Macaca mulatta: one gene and its partners. The protein of the gene in region 2 purifies or fractionates together with the protein of the main gene of each other region. This does not show direct contact. Links are inferred from orthologs where the notes say so. Each region holds a gene or a part of one and is shown on either strand. Other genes may lie near its edges.

Evidence for each region. Proteins that work in one complex are often made in the same cells at the same time.
Region 1: the proteins of SNX9 (region 2) and DNM1 purify together in Homo sapiens (co-immunoprecipitation; 6 studies listed by BioGRID and IntAct, counting the BioPlex papers as one, with this or other methods). This does not show direct contact. The link is inferred for Macaca mulatta from reciprocal best matches to the Homo sapiens genes SNX9 and DNM1.
Region 3: the proteins of SNX9 (region 2) and SYNJ1 purify together in Homo sapiens (co-immunoprecipitation; 3 studies listed by BioGRID and IntAct, counting the BioPlex papers as one, with this or other methods). This does not show direct contact. The link is inferred for Macaca mulatta from reciprocal best matches to the Homo sapiens genes SNX9 and SYNJ1.

Annotation. Positions count from the first base shown.
Region 1 is NC_133420.1:19,437,579-19,441,883, reverse strand, and holds part of DNM1 (dynamin-1), read left to right. Parts: intron 1-206; coding exon 207-318; exon of another isoform or gene 319-322; intron 323-1,062; coding exon 1,063-1,074; intron 1,075-1,725; coding exon 1,726-1,896; intron 1,897-3,376; coding exon 3,377-3,618; intron 3,619-3,985; coding exon 3,986-4,201; coding exon of another isoform or gene 4,202-4,205; intron 4,206-4,305. UniProt on the Homo sapiens protein: Catalyzes the hydrolysis of GTP and utilizes this energy to mediate vesicle scission and participates in many forms of endocytosis, such as clathrin-mediated endocytosis or synaptic vesicle endocytosis as well as rapid endocytosis (RE).
Region 2 is NC_133409.1:76,688,947-76,693,822, forward strand, and holds the start of SNX9 (sorting nexin-9), read left to right. Parts: upstream 1-1,856; 5' UTR 1,857-2,068; coding exon 2,069-2,080; intron 2,081-4,876. UniProt on the Homo sapiens protein: Involved in endocytosis and intracellular vesicle trafficking, both during interphase and at the end of mitosis. Required for efficient progress through mitosis and cytokinesis. Required for normal formation of the cleavage furrow at the end of mitosis.
Region 3 is NC_133408.1:14,731,288-14,735,661, reverse strand, and holds the end of SYNJ1 (synaptojanin-1), read right to left. Parts: intron 3,755-4,374; coding exon 2,942-3,754; 3' UTR 704-2,941; downstream 1-703. UniProt on the Homo sapiens protein: Phosphatase that acts on various phosphoinositides, including phosphatidylinositol 4-phosphate, phosphatidylinositol (4,5)-bisphosphate and phosphatidylinositol (3,4,5)-trisphosphate. Has a role in clathrin-mediated endocytosis.

The sequences.
Region 1 (4,305 bases), on a different chromosome or scaffold from region 2:
GTGACCGGAGGCGGCAGGAATTCTTATTAACCCATCTTCCCAATGAGGAAACTGAGGCTGAGAGAGAGGAAGGGACTTGCACAGGTCACACAGCTGGGAAATGAGCTGGCCTCAGGCATGGTGACCCCAAAGTCTGGGCATGCCCTTAACCCCCAGGGAGGGTGGGGCTTTGCCCATCTGCCCTCACCATCCGCCCTGTCTTGCAGGAATGTCTATAAGGATTATCGGCAGCTGGAGCTGGCCTGTGAGACACAGGAGGAGGTGGACAGCTGGAAGGCCTCCTTCCTGAGGGCTGGCGTATACCCTGAGCGTGTTGGGGTGAGTGGCAGGGCAAGGAGAGGAGGGGCAAGCATGATCCTAAGGCCCCTGGGGCACCATCCTCAGTGATGCCAAGTCACGTCATGTTTCCGAGCCCTTATTTGGCTCAGAAATAATAGGAATCCTGGCCGGGCGCGGTGGCTCAAGCCTGTAATCCCAGCACTTTGGGAGGCCGAGGCGGGTGGATCACGAGGTCAGGAGATCGAGACTATCCTGGCTAACATGGTGAAACCCCGTCTCTACTAAAAATACAAAAAACTAGCCGGGCGTGGTGGCGGCCGCCTGTAGTCTCAGCTACTTGGGAGGCTGAGGCGGGAGAATGGCGTGAACCCGGGAGGCGGAGCTTGCAGTGAGCCGAGATCACGCCACTGCACTCCAGCCTGGGAGACACAGCGAGACTCCGTCTCAAAAAAAAAAAAATAGGAATCCTTCCCCCTACCCACTCTGGGGGTGGGAACAGAGATAAGTCTCCTGGTCCTCCCATCCTTCTCCAGTGGCAGTTTCACGTCTCTGTCTCTGTTGCAGATGGCATTTCTATATTCCCCTTTCTATGATGGTGGTTTCTTGTGACTGCCTTCTCTTTCCTCCCCTATTTCACTGTGGCAATGTCTAGAGTAGCCTGAGAGTTGGGGTGCAGTGTCCCCAGGTTCACTCAATCTCTCCCCTTTTCCTCTCTGTATGTTTCCTTTGGCTGTGCTCCCTGGTGGTGGTGGTGGTGACAATGTTGGTGTGTGGGCCTCCCAGGACAAAGAGAAAGTGAGTATGCCCTTCTCTTGCCTCCTGTCAGGCATCTGCAGCCTGGCACCAGCTCCAGCCAGGTTTTCAAGCAAGGGACCAGGAGATGTTCTTTTCTAATTTCTGGATTGGGGCCAGGCGCAGTGGCTCGCGCCTGTAAACCCAACACTTTGGGAGGCCGAGGTGGGCCGATCATGAGGTCAGGAGTTTGAGACCAGCCTGGCAACACGGTGAAACTCCATCTCTACTAAAAATAACAAAAGTTAGCCAGGCATGGTGGTGCGCACCTGTAATCCCAGCTACTCAGGAGGCTGAGGCAGGACAATCGCTTGAACCTGGGAGGCAGAGGATGCAATGAACCAAGACAGCACCACTGCCCTCCAGCCTGGGCGACAGAGCAAGACTCTCTCAAAATAATAATAATAATAATTTCTGGATTGGGAAATTGAGGCAAATTCTAGGCACTAGAGTCAGAACCAAGACAAGGCTGAATCAGGGGAGTCTAGGGTCCTGAGAGGCACAGGGATGGAGAGCCTGGTGTGTGTTCAGGCCAGTTGCTTCTCTCTGTGCCTCAATGTTCTGGGTACCTTTGGAGGGGCTGAGATCCTGGCGATGCCTGGAGCCTGGCTGCGTGGCCTGGCCACCCTGATGCCCTTGTGTTCTCCATGGCAGGCCAGTGAGACCGAGGAGAATGGCTCCGACAGCTTCATGCATTCCATGGACCCACAGCTGGAACGGCAAGTGGAGACCATCCGGAATCTTGTGGACTCGTACATGGCCATTGTCAACAAGACCGTGCGGGACCTCATGCCCAAAACCATCATGCACCTCATGATTAACAATGTGCGTGCTCCGCCGCATGGGGGCAGGGAAGTCCTGTGGCACTGGGGACGCAGGTGGCCATGTTGGCCTGGGGGAGATGCCAACCAGCCCTGTGGGACCAGGTCCAGGGAGGGAGGCACGGTCCAGACCAGAGCTGTCCGATAGAAATATAATGAGGGTCTGAGCACAGTGGCTCACACCTGGAATCCCGGCACTGTGGGAGGTCAAGGCAGGCGGAACACTTGAGGTCAGGGGTTCAAGACCAGCCTGGCCAACATGGTGAAACCCCGTCTCTACTAAAAATAGAAAAATTAGCTAGGTGTGGTAGCGTGAGCCTGTAATCACAGCTACTTGGGAGGCTGAGACAGGAGAATCACTTGAACCCGGGAGGTGGAGGTTGCAGTGGGCGGAGGTTGCAGTGAGCTGAGATCCTGCCACTGTACTCCAGCCTGGCCGACAGAGCGAGATTCCATCTCAAAAAAAAGAAAAAAGAAAAAAGAGAAAAGAAAGAAATATAATGAGGGGCTGGGCATGGTGGCTCATAACTGTAATCCCAGCACTTTGGGAGGCCAAGGCAGGAGGATCACTTGAGCCCAGGAGTTCAAGACCAGCTTGGGCAACACAGTGAGACCTCGTCTCTACACAGAAATTTTAAAGAATAGCTGGGGTTGGCTGGGTGCGGCGGCTCATGCCTGTAATCCCAGCACTTTGGGAGGCCAAGGTGGGCGGATCACCTGAGGTTGGAAGTTTGAGACCAGCCTGACCAACATGGAGAAACTCCGTCTCTATTAAAAATACAAAATTAGCCGGTCACGGTGGTGCATGCCTGTAATCCCAGCTACTCGGGAGGCTGAGGCAGGAGAATTGCTTGAACCCGGGAGGTGGAGGTTGCGGTGAGCCAAGATTGTGCCATTGCACTCCAGCCTGGGCAACAAGAGCAAAACTCCCTCTCAAAAAAAAAAAAAAAAAAAAAAAAAAAAAAAAAAAATATATATATATATATATATATATATATATATATATATATAAAGAAAAGCTGGGGTTGGTGGTAGCACGTGCCTGTAGTCCTAGCTACTGGAGAGGCTGACATTGGAAGATAACTTTGAGCCCAGGAGGTTGAGGCTACAGTGAGTTGTAATCTTGCCACTGTACTCCAGCCTGGCGACAGAGCGAGACCCTATCTCAAAAAAAAAACAAAAACAAAGAAAATCAAAACAAAAACTGAGTAGACAAGTGTTCTGGTGGCGTGATAGGTCCTAAGTCCCCTCCCGGATCTGTGACCTTAGTCAGGTGACTTTTCCTGTAGACCTCAGTGTCCTCATCTGAGCGAGAAAAGCGCGGTGGGGAGGCGAATCTTCCAGTCTACGCAGTGTAGGAGCCGCGTGGGAAAAGCCATACCAGCTCACAGTCCCGTGGGGGGCCGTGGGGGCCGGCCGGGTGGGGCGGCCAGGGCGGCACAGGCATCAAGTCCCCACCTCCTTCCCTCTTTGCCTACTCGCAGACCAAGGAGTTCATCTTCTCGGAGCTGCTGGCCAACCTGTACTCGTGTGGGGACCAGAACACGCTGATGGAGGAGTCGGCGGAGCAGGCACAGCGGCGCGACGAGATGCTGCGCATGTACCACGCTCTGAAGGAGGCGCTCAGCATCATCGGCGACATCAATACGACCACCGTCAGCACGCCCATGCCCCCGCCCGTGGACGACTCCTGGCTGCAGGTGCAGAGCGTACCGGCCGGACGCAGGTACCAGGGCCGGCCCCCACGGCCCCAAAGCCCCCCAGCCCGGGGCCCACGGGAGGAGTGCCGGGACCGGGCAGTGGCGCGCCCGCGTCACCGGGCGGCTCCCACCTGGAGCGAGGGGCGGAGCTTAGAGAGGGCGGGGCTTGCCGCGGGGCGGGGCTTGCCGTGGAGAGCTGGCTGCGAGGCGGGGTGGAGCTGGGACGTTGGCGCCGCTGGGGGCGGGGCTTAAGCTCCGGCGACCGCCTCGGGGCACGGCAGGGAGGGGCTTTGCGTGCATGGGCGTGGCAAGCACTGGGCTGGGGCGGGGCCTCAGTGTGGGCGGAGCCGCTCATCTCGCCTCTCCTTGTTTCTCGCTGCCTGTCGCCCTCAGGTCGCCCACGTCCAGCCCCACGCCGCAGCGCCGAGCCCCCGCCGTGCCCCCAGCCCGGCCCGGGTCGCGGGGCCCTGCTCCTGGGCCTCCGCCTGCTGGGTCCGCCCTGGGGGGGGCGCCCCCCGTGCCCTCCAGGCCGGGGGCTTCCCCTGACCCTTTCGGCCCTCCCCCTCAGGTGCCCTCGCGCCCCAACCGCGCCCCGCCCGGGGTCCCCAGGTGAGTAGGGGCTGAATGCGGCTGGAGAGGCTGCCGGACGGGCGTGGCCGGGAGGGAAATGGGGCTGGATTCCAGAGCATCGGACCCGGCCGCCAGAACCGGCC
Region 2 (4,876 bases):
GCTGTACCCAGGCTTCACATTTAAAAGAATATGGAAAACTCATTACTTATGACATTGACTGAGTTCAAATCCTGGTTTTTCCACATACTAGTGTGTACTCTTAGCCAAGTTATTTCTTCCATTGTTTATTAAAACATAACTTCTGTTTTTAAAGGAAGTCATACATACACATGGTCAAAAACTCTGACAACAGGATTTGGCGAAACTTTCTCAGAAGTTTTCTAGGCATGTATAACACATTTCCTTTTTTTTTTTTTTTAACATAAATGTACCATACATCATGTTCTTTTATCTTTCTTAACACCTCTTAAAATATTATTTTCTTACGGGCTTTGTAGTATTTTGTTTGAATGGATGTATCTTATTTACTGAAAGAGTCCTGTTAACAAACACATAGGTTGTTTTCTGGTTGGAGTTAGGACCGAACAATCTTTGATGAACATCTTTGATCACTTGTACAAGTTTGACAGGATAAACTCCTAGGAGGGCTGCTGGGTCCAAGGCTGTGGTCATTTTCGATTTGAGTAAGTATTACCAAAAGCGCAAGTTATTTAAGTGAGCCCTGATTCGCTCTTCTTTGTAAACAGTGGACAATAATGAGCTTCTCAAACGTTTCTTATAAGGATTAAATGAGATGGGGATGTAAAAGCCCAGTATATAGCAAGCAGGCTGTCAATGAATATTGGCCTCCATCTTTTTTTATGGAGAAAGACAACTATTTATGCATATTATGACGACTATAGCTTAACCATGAGCTCAACAAACACAAAAATTCACAGAAAATTCTGCGATACCGTATCTATTTTAAACCACATTATTGAATGTAACTAGTGAAACCTCAGGTCAAATAGAATGTATTTAAGGAGACACAAACTTGACATTAACTCTAAATACCAGAGTATTGAAGATTTGATAGTTGTCTCTTCTTACAAATATATCCCTCATAATAAAAAAGCACTCCACTAATATGCCAATTATGATACATCTTCCAGTTGTGTTTTGTCCTTGAGCGAAAAATCTTGCTGCTCAATTCAAGTCATTCGTTTATTCATAACACCCATATATATATCTCCAACTCTGGAGAGAAACACTGACAGAAAGATGGAAAATTTTAGAGCCCTCATTTCCACTTCAGAGAGCCTGTTGTCCCCTAAACCTCTTGGGCCCTCGGGCATTTTTAAACTTATCAAGATTCCAGAATGAGGTTAATGGGACGTCACAAAACGAACCCCCCACCGTCCCGTCCCAGGGGCTCCAAGCCAGGACCCCAGCCTGAGGGAGCCTCCGGGCAGGAGAAAGAGGCCCAGGAAGCCATTGCTCCGTTCCTTCCCGGCTGTTTACGTGGCACTCAAAGTACTCGGCCAAGGGCACGGCGACCCCGCAACACCCTCGGCGTGGGGCAAAGACAGCGGGGTTGCGGGGCTCCTGTCTGCCGGGAGCGTCGAGAGTTCCTGCCCCCCCGCCCGCCTCATGCACGGAAAGCCCCGAGCCACGGCGTGCGGCGCTGGCCGAGCGTGAACCGGAGTCGGGTTCGGCTCCCCCGAGCGGCTGTGCGGGCCGCGGAGCGCTTCCTGTGGGGCGGCCACGCAGGGTGCGGGCCATGGCCCGGGGCGCCTGTCCGGATCCCGCCGCCGCGCGGGACGCAGCCCCCGTCCTCGACCCAGGGCGCCCGGCGGCGGCGGCAGCGACTGCCCGGGGCGGCGGCGCGGCGCGGCGCAGCGCGGGGGCGGCCAGGAGGCGAGGAGGCCGGGCCGCGGCCGAGGGCCCAGGGCGCGCTTCCGCCGGGCGCCGCGCGCGCCGCGGTAAAAGGGAGGCTCGGCCGGCAGGGGCGGGGGCCGCGCAGCCGGGGACTTTCAGGAACTGCAGGAGCGGGCGGCGCGGGAGTAGCCGAGCGCCCAGCGGCTGGGCCTGAGCGTCGAGACTCGGGGCCGAGGCGGAGGAGCGGCCGCCGCGCCGGGGCCCAGCCGGAGCCGCCGCCCTCGCCCTTGCCTTCGTCCGCGCGGCTCAGAATCACCATCCGCGGCGCGGGAGACAAGCCGGCCGTCCCGGGCCGGGGGACCCGCCCGCCATGGCCACCAAGGTGAGGGGCGCGCAGCGCAGGCCCGGCCGGTCGCTCAGGCCCGCGGCGGCGCGGGGACGGTCGGGGCTGGGGCCGCGGGGAGGGTTGGGGCCGGGGGCGGCCGAGGGGCCACTCTGCGTCCTCGGTGGGGTCCCCGGGCGGGTCCGCGGCCCAGCCAGTCCCTTCTGGGCATGGGTGCGGCGGACCGTGCAGACGGCCGGGATCGCGCCGGGGGAGGGCGTCGGGTCTGGGCGCGGGTTGGGACCCCGGGTGCAGCGACGTTTGGGAAGTTTGCACCTGAGCTTGGGCTGCGGCGGGCTCGCCGGGAGGGGCCGCGAGAGCGGGACGGAAACTTCCCGCAGCCCGGGGAGGCCCCCGAGGCGACAGGCTCTCTGTGGCGTCCGGTGTCCCCGCGGCGTCTGGCGTCCCCGCCGCCCCCACGTCCCCTCCCGCTGCCGCCCAGGGGACCCTCGGCCCCGTGGGGCGGGTGGGGGTCGAGACCTCAGCAGAGAGGACGCTGCGCTTCCCGTCCCGGCCTGCGGGAGCTCGCGGCCGGGGAGAGACAGAGGCTGGGACACCCCGCGCCCCTCTGCCTTCTCTGCTGTTATTTTTTTCTTTTGTTTTGCTACCTGCTCAGTGTGAATGGTATTGCCGGCATGAATAAAATATCAAGAGGGAAATGACTGTGCTTTCGATTACGTGTTTGCCTAAAAAAGGCCCAGGCCCGAATTACGTGGTGGAACTTTGACTCCTGCTTGGTAATTGGCTAGGAGCGGTGGTTTGCTTGTTTTGCATTATTGTTTATGAAATTAGCAGTCACTCTTTGCTACCTGAATCTTCAAAAGCCACCCTCCCCCACTCCTTTTCCTTGGGCGTTTTCAGTAGTTACTTGGTGTAAAATAGTCACTGGGGAGTCATGGTCGCGGAAGGAGGACCTGGGGGAGGAGGCTCTGTACCTGAACCATTAACTGTTCTGTGATACGCTGTGAGGAGTAGGTTTACTTTTGCACTTAGTTTTTGTAGTGTCACTTTATTAGCATCAGCACCCCTTTCCCTATTTTTTTTTTTTTTTTTTGAGATCTCTGACTACTTTTGGGTTGCTAGAAACGTTATTTTTTATATTTCGATAGCTATTTGCTTTTTTTGGTGGAGTGTTAAGGTAGGAAATGGTAAGAAATGTGAAATCTGTTTAAAAGATCAGCGTTGCTTGACTTCGGTCTGCTAGATGTCCTGTGGTAAATTTTGTGCTCTGAATCCATCTAGGTGCAGCGTTTATAGAGAAGTGGGGATTCTCCTCCAGGGAACCTGTTGCTGCTGTTACTGAAATAATTACCTTCTTGTTAATATATTATTGCCTGTGCTGTGCTTTGGTTTTATTAATGTGATAGAACTTGCCACCTTTTGAACTTATTAATTTTGTGTTGACCTTTTTAAAAATAAAACTTAGGCCAAGGATTTCTAAGGAAATTTGATTTTGAGGTTTGTTGCCAGACACTCCAGAAATTACCAGTTACACATCCTAGTACACGCTCATCTTGCAACCTTAACAGCGGTTTATAGGCTGGGCGCGGCGGCTCACTCCCACCTGTAATTCCAGCACTTTGGGAGGCCGCGGTGGGCGGTTCACCTGAGGTCGGAGCTCCATACAGCCTGGCCAATATGGTGAAACTCCGTCTCTACTAAAAATACAAAAATTAGCTGGGCGTGGTGGCGCGCGCCTGTAGCCCCAGCTGCTCCGGGAGGCCGAGGCAGGAGAATCGCTTGAACCCGGGAGGCGGAGGTTGCAGTGAGCCAAGATGGCGTCGCTGCACTCCGGCCTGGGCTACAGAGCGAGGAGACTCCGTTTGAAAAAAAAAAAAAAAACCAAGGCGGTGTATGACATAGAGATCTGTCCAGTGGTGGTCTGTGTGTTTTTACACTCTGGTCTACTGAGGCATGTTACCTGTACTGTCCTTTAAGTGGAATGCAGTTTAGCAACTAGTGCAGGTATACGTAGTGAAATTTTTATTTCATAGTTAAGCCTGAACTTAATTTTTTTTTTCAAAAAATTGAAAAGTGGTTCTTGTATATTAATCTTGAATTGCATGTGTCTTTGCTTAAACACGAGCCTTAAAACATGCATAAGCACTTCCTACTTCGTTATCTACACCACTCCGAAGGCAAATTCCAGTAATTCTGTTAGTTTCTTTCGCTGTCTAATCACTGTTCCACATGGTGCTCATTTCCATGTCTACATTGTGACAGACCATTTCCATTTTAAGAAAAAGAAGAGCAATGAAGCAGTTGTTAGAAGAAGACCCTTCCTTAGTTTTCTGACATCCTGGTGATACTTGGGTCAAACCAAAGTCTCATTTTTTAATTGTCCCCAGAGAGACAAGTTGCTACTTTCCTCACTTGCCCCATATACACACCCCTTCCCCACACCTGAGTAGTTCTGTTTTTTTTCTTCGTCTTCTTCAAGGGGTGGGGAGAATGTGCTTAGTAGTAATGACTAATTTTTAATAAATGGCTCCAGTGGCACTCAGGCTGTTGCTGTAAGTATTAAGTGATGAAAAGTAAATTCAGGATCTGGATATTTTAGGGGATGTTCATTTCCCTTTGAATTTACCAGAAACTTGGCTATAGTATCTTCAGATACAATTTTCTTGTTTGTTCTTAAGTATTTTCTTAAGGATGTGGTTATCACTGAACTATTGGCATTTTAAAAAACTGCACTAGTATATTTTACAATAGAAAAGGAAATTATCATTTAGAAGAAGTAGTTTAGTTGAACAGTCCTTCACTGCTAAGGAAAGTTAATCAGGGCCAGGTGCGGTG
Region 3 (4,374 bases), on a different chromosome or scaffold from region 2:
CACCCATCTTGGCCTCCCAAAGTGCTGGGATTATAGGCATGAGCCACCACACCCGGCCCTGGCCTTTTACTTTGGGTCTTTTTAGTCAGTCCCTTTTTCTGTCTGGTTGTGTCCCAATTCCTTTTTGCCCCCCAGTTGTTCCTTCTGCTTTGGGTAAGAAAAATAATTCATATTTCATGTATTATTTTCAAGTCAGCATGATTTTGAGTTAGGGCCTCTCTTATGGAGTAAGTGCATGGACCTTCTTTTTTTTTTTTTCTTTTCCCCAGAAAGAGTTTCGCTCTTGTCGCCCAGGCTGGAGTGCAATGGCACGATCTTGGCTCACTGCAACCTCTGCCTCCCAGGTTGTAGCCATTCTCCTGCCTCAGCCTCCCCAGTAGCTGGGATTACAGGCCTGCGCCACCACACCTGGCTAATTTTTTTTTTTTTTTTTTTTGTATTTTTAGTAGAGACAGGGTTTCACCATGTTGGCGAGGCTGGGCATGGACTTTTTAATAATGATTAGTAATCTCAGAAAATCTTTCTTCTTACTTTTAGAGGAAGCACTATCTGGAGAAATGAAAATAAGGTCTTGAATTAAAATACCTGATTCGGCAATAAGGGTTAGGCTTATTTAGTTTGAACGTCACTAAACTTGTGTATGTAAAGTACACGGAAAATGGCTGAGAAAAATTCTTCCCTTTCGAACAAAGAAGTCAGCATGGTAAAGACAGATATATTTATTTCATATGACAGCACGTTTCACAGGATATGTACAGAATGTCTGTGTACCACTGACTTTAATACTGTACTTCTATAAAGTTTATCATTATAAATATTGTATGCCACATAAGCAATAAAATCTTACATATAAACAGCAATCTAATATAGAGAACACAGAGTTCACAAAGAGATCTTAGTGTCTAACTTCTGCTCTGCTTTTAACAGAACTAGTAAATATTTAATAATACACAGAATAATGGCTAGTTATTTGCAGCATACCTTTAACTTTCATAACTTTGTGCATTTTCAGCAACTTGCCAAGTGTAATTTCCTGATAAAGGCTGGGCTGCTGATATGTATATTTTAGACAGTAGTTTATATCCAATAGGAAACATTGCTCACAGAACTGCAATTTGCACTAGTGAAGTTTACCTAACAATGAATTATTTTGCTAATGGAGAGCAAATACCATATACACGAGTCACATGGATGTTAAAGCCACAATTTCAACAAGTTAATTCACATTTTGAAGCATACTGCTTATAGTAATACTGCTGTTTAAAAGACACTACTGCTGAAATGATTAGAACCTCCAAAAAGCACAATGTAAAACTCACAAGAGTTATTTCTAACAGCAAATCCTGGCTGTTAACAGAGAAGATTACTTCTATAAATATAGTATTTTGATAACATTTGAGCATTTAGAAAAATGCTTTTTTTTCCTAATAGATTTGCTTTATGTCTAAGTGCAGTGCAGTTTGCTGTGCTTTTAACATTTTACATATTCGTAGCCATGAACGCTATTTTTTTATATTCCCTCAATGTACATCTTTAAAGGTTAAGTGTGGACATAGGAATTTAGGTGGACATATACAACTCTTTATATAAAAGGAACGCTAATGTAAGTCTTAATGGGTAAAGATGATTGTAATGGAAACTGACAAAGAAACAACTATTGCTCAAGGAGTTTTCTGATTGGTTTACTTAATGATATCAAAATACTACATTCTGTAAAAATTCTGTGTACTTCTTCATAAAATTAATAAAAGCGGGATCAGTTGCATATTGGCAGTGCAGGAGACAAAATCCACAGCTAATTTGAGGTATAGCCTCTAAAAACTTAAAGCAGCATCAGAGATGTGTTATGTAGCCTCGTAAGAGGGGGGAGAACACAGTGGATATATCCCCAATTCAAAGCACTCAGGGGATGGCTGCTTTCCCTGCTAAAAGCAAAGTTCCAGAGCAAAAGCAGCAAAAAGAAAATATGGGAGGGATACAGGCAACGTACATTCAAATGTACGCAGAGAAGAGAGTACGGTTAGCTCTAATATTTCTCCTTGAACTTGGTGGTATGTGCCTTCCCTGCATATAAGGCCATAGTGCTTTTTTGGGAGCACTAGAATATCCATCCACTTGACAGTGACCACAAAATAGGCTGTTTCCAGCGGCAAGAACCTCCTCCTGGAGAAAAGCATATGAAAGCGCTGGAGTAAAAAGTAACAAGGTTGTGTGTATTTGAAGGTGTTGGGTGTGGAATGGTAGAAAATTCTGATTCTGTGGTGAGATTATTCTAGTTTTGAAAACAAAATTAATGAAAGGTCCAAATTACATTGCAGCCATCTTTTTGGTAATGTGATATTGAGAAAGGGACTCTCTTGGAACTTTTAGGTATAATTTGGTCTGAGTTATATCCTAGAAATTAAACTATGAATTGTGAAAATATATAAATGTATATGGAAGTATATGTGTTTGTATGTATTATATATGTACACATACCTATACTTTTTTCCTTTAAAGCAATGCCTTTCAAAACTGTTCACTGTAACCTTGGCAGCTCTTTGGTAAATACTCATAGATAACCAATTGTTAACAAGTATGAGAGGGCTGGTGGAAATGTCAGCTGAAAGTTGGGTGGGCTTTTTTGAGATTCTTCAGAAGCCTGACCGAAAAGTTTCTGAATAAGGACTGTTTTCTAAAGTAGTTTTAAGCACTTTTTATGGCTACTACTGTCTCCTATTCATCCAAAGAGAAATACATCAAAACTCCAGTTAACAATGAGAAGGGTTTTTCCTTATTTCCAATATACACATATTCCAACTCTGTACACATCAAATAGTGGTGTTTTGTGAAGATATCAGTGCACTTACAATGACTTATTGCACATAATGAAATACGAATGCCCAATTCTCTTGGCTCTACCTGCCAAAAGCAAATACCCACTGTCTTCTGTTGCGTGGCGTTATCTTTCTGTAAAGTCCAGTGTGGGCGAAGCCTTAGAGGCCAAGGTCGTGAAAGGATCTACTGGAGGGCTGGTGCCAGGCAGGAGCAGAGGGACAGGAGGTGGAGGAGGTCTTCTTGATGGCAACACACAGAAAGAGACATTTGTACCTTTATTCCAGTCATCATTCAATGTCAGGTTGGAGCTGGAAAATGAACTTGGCAGATTACCCAGTAAATCTGAACAAGCTGACTTTGACTTCCCTTTCACACCAAAGTCCTCTTCTTCCTCAAAGGTTACCCATCCTTTTGGGTTGCTAATTGTTAATGTAGACTGCCCCTGTAGATCAAAACTTTCCTTAAAGCCATCAAGTGAAGATGAAGCCTTGCCTTCGTTATGACTGAGAGGCTGCAGAGAAGGGAAAGGATTGATAGTAACGGGCTCTTCTTTGGAGAACCATGAAGTTGCCTCTGATTCTTGAGACTTGGCTTTAAATGGGTTTCCAGGAGCAGCAGTCCTGTCACTGAAAGGATTTGTCCTGGTCAAGCCGGTAATAAACGGGTTTGGAGAACTTCGCATATTTTCCTGGGACTGACTCCGAGCTGGAATTGGAGGCATTGTTGGCATGCAACTCACAGAACTCAAAGTATTAACATTACTTTGCGTTACAGAAGGCAACTGAATCAACCTCTTTGGGTCTGGGGTTGGAACAGGTGACGTTTGAACAGATAGCTGAGCCTTTGATACAGCAAGCAGATTAAATGACAGATCTTCAAATGGGTCAATCTTTAACGGTGATTCTCGTTTGACACCAGAGATTCCATTTGTTTTTACCTGCGAAAGAAAGGGAGCACTGAAAAACCAGTTTATATTTACTTTTAATACCCCCCATTCTTCCTGTCTCAATTATTCTTCCCTTTTTAGGGGCAAGCATGTAAATTTAGAAACTAAAAAGTAGCTTTGTGTAGTTTGTTACTCTGGTGGTTTAAATAAGATGAAACAGCTACAATCTTTAAAAACTTCTTTCTAAATAAATCCTTTCTAATTAAATCAATTTTTTAAATCTCTCAAAATCAGAGCTTATTTCATTCATGCAAGTTTTGAAATGGTAAGAAGGAGAATTGTATAGAATTAACAAATTTGTTCATGCCCAGTTCTATCACATTTCAGTATGAACTTAAGAAATCCATACTTATGACTTACGGTGAATCTATATAAATAAATTTCCAACACCCATCTATGATGATGATGATGTGGTTTCATTGTTCTTTTAAGTATGTTTTCATTTAAAATTAATGTTACTATGGAAATTCAATTTTATAGATAAAATAAATTCTATTAGCATATTTTATTCATAAGATGAAGACTCCATATTTCCCTCTCCCTCTTCTAGTTGGAAAAATAAATTTTGAGAGTTCTTTGCTTTTTTTTTTTTTTTTTGGAGACCGAATCTT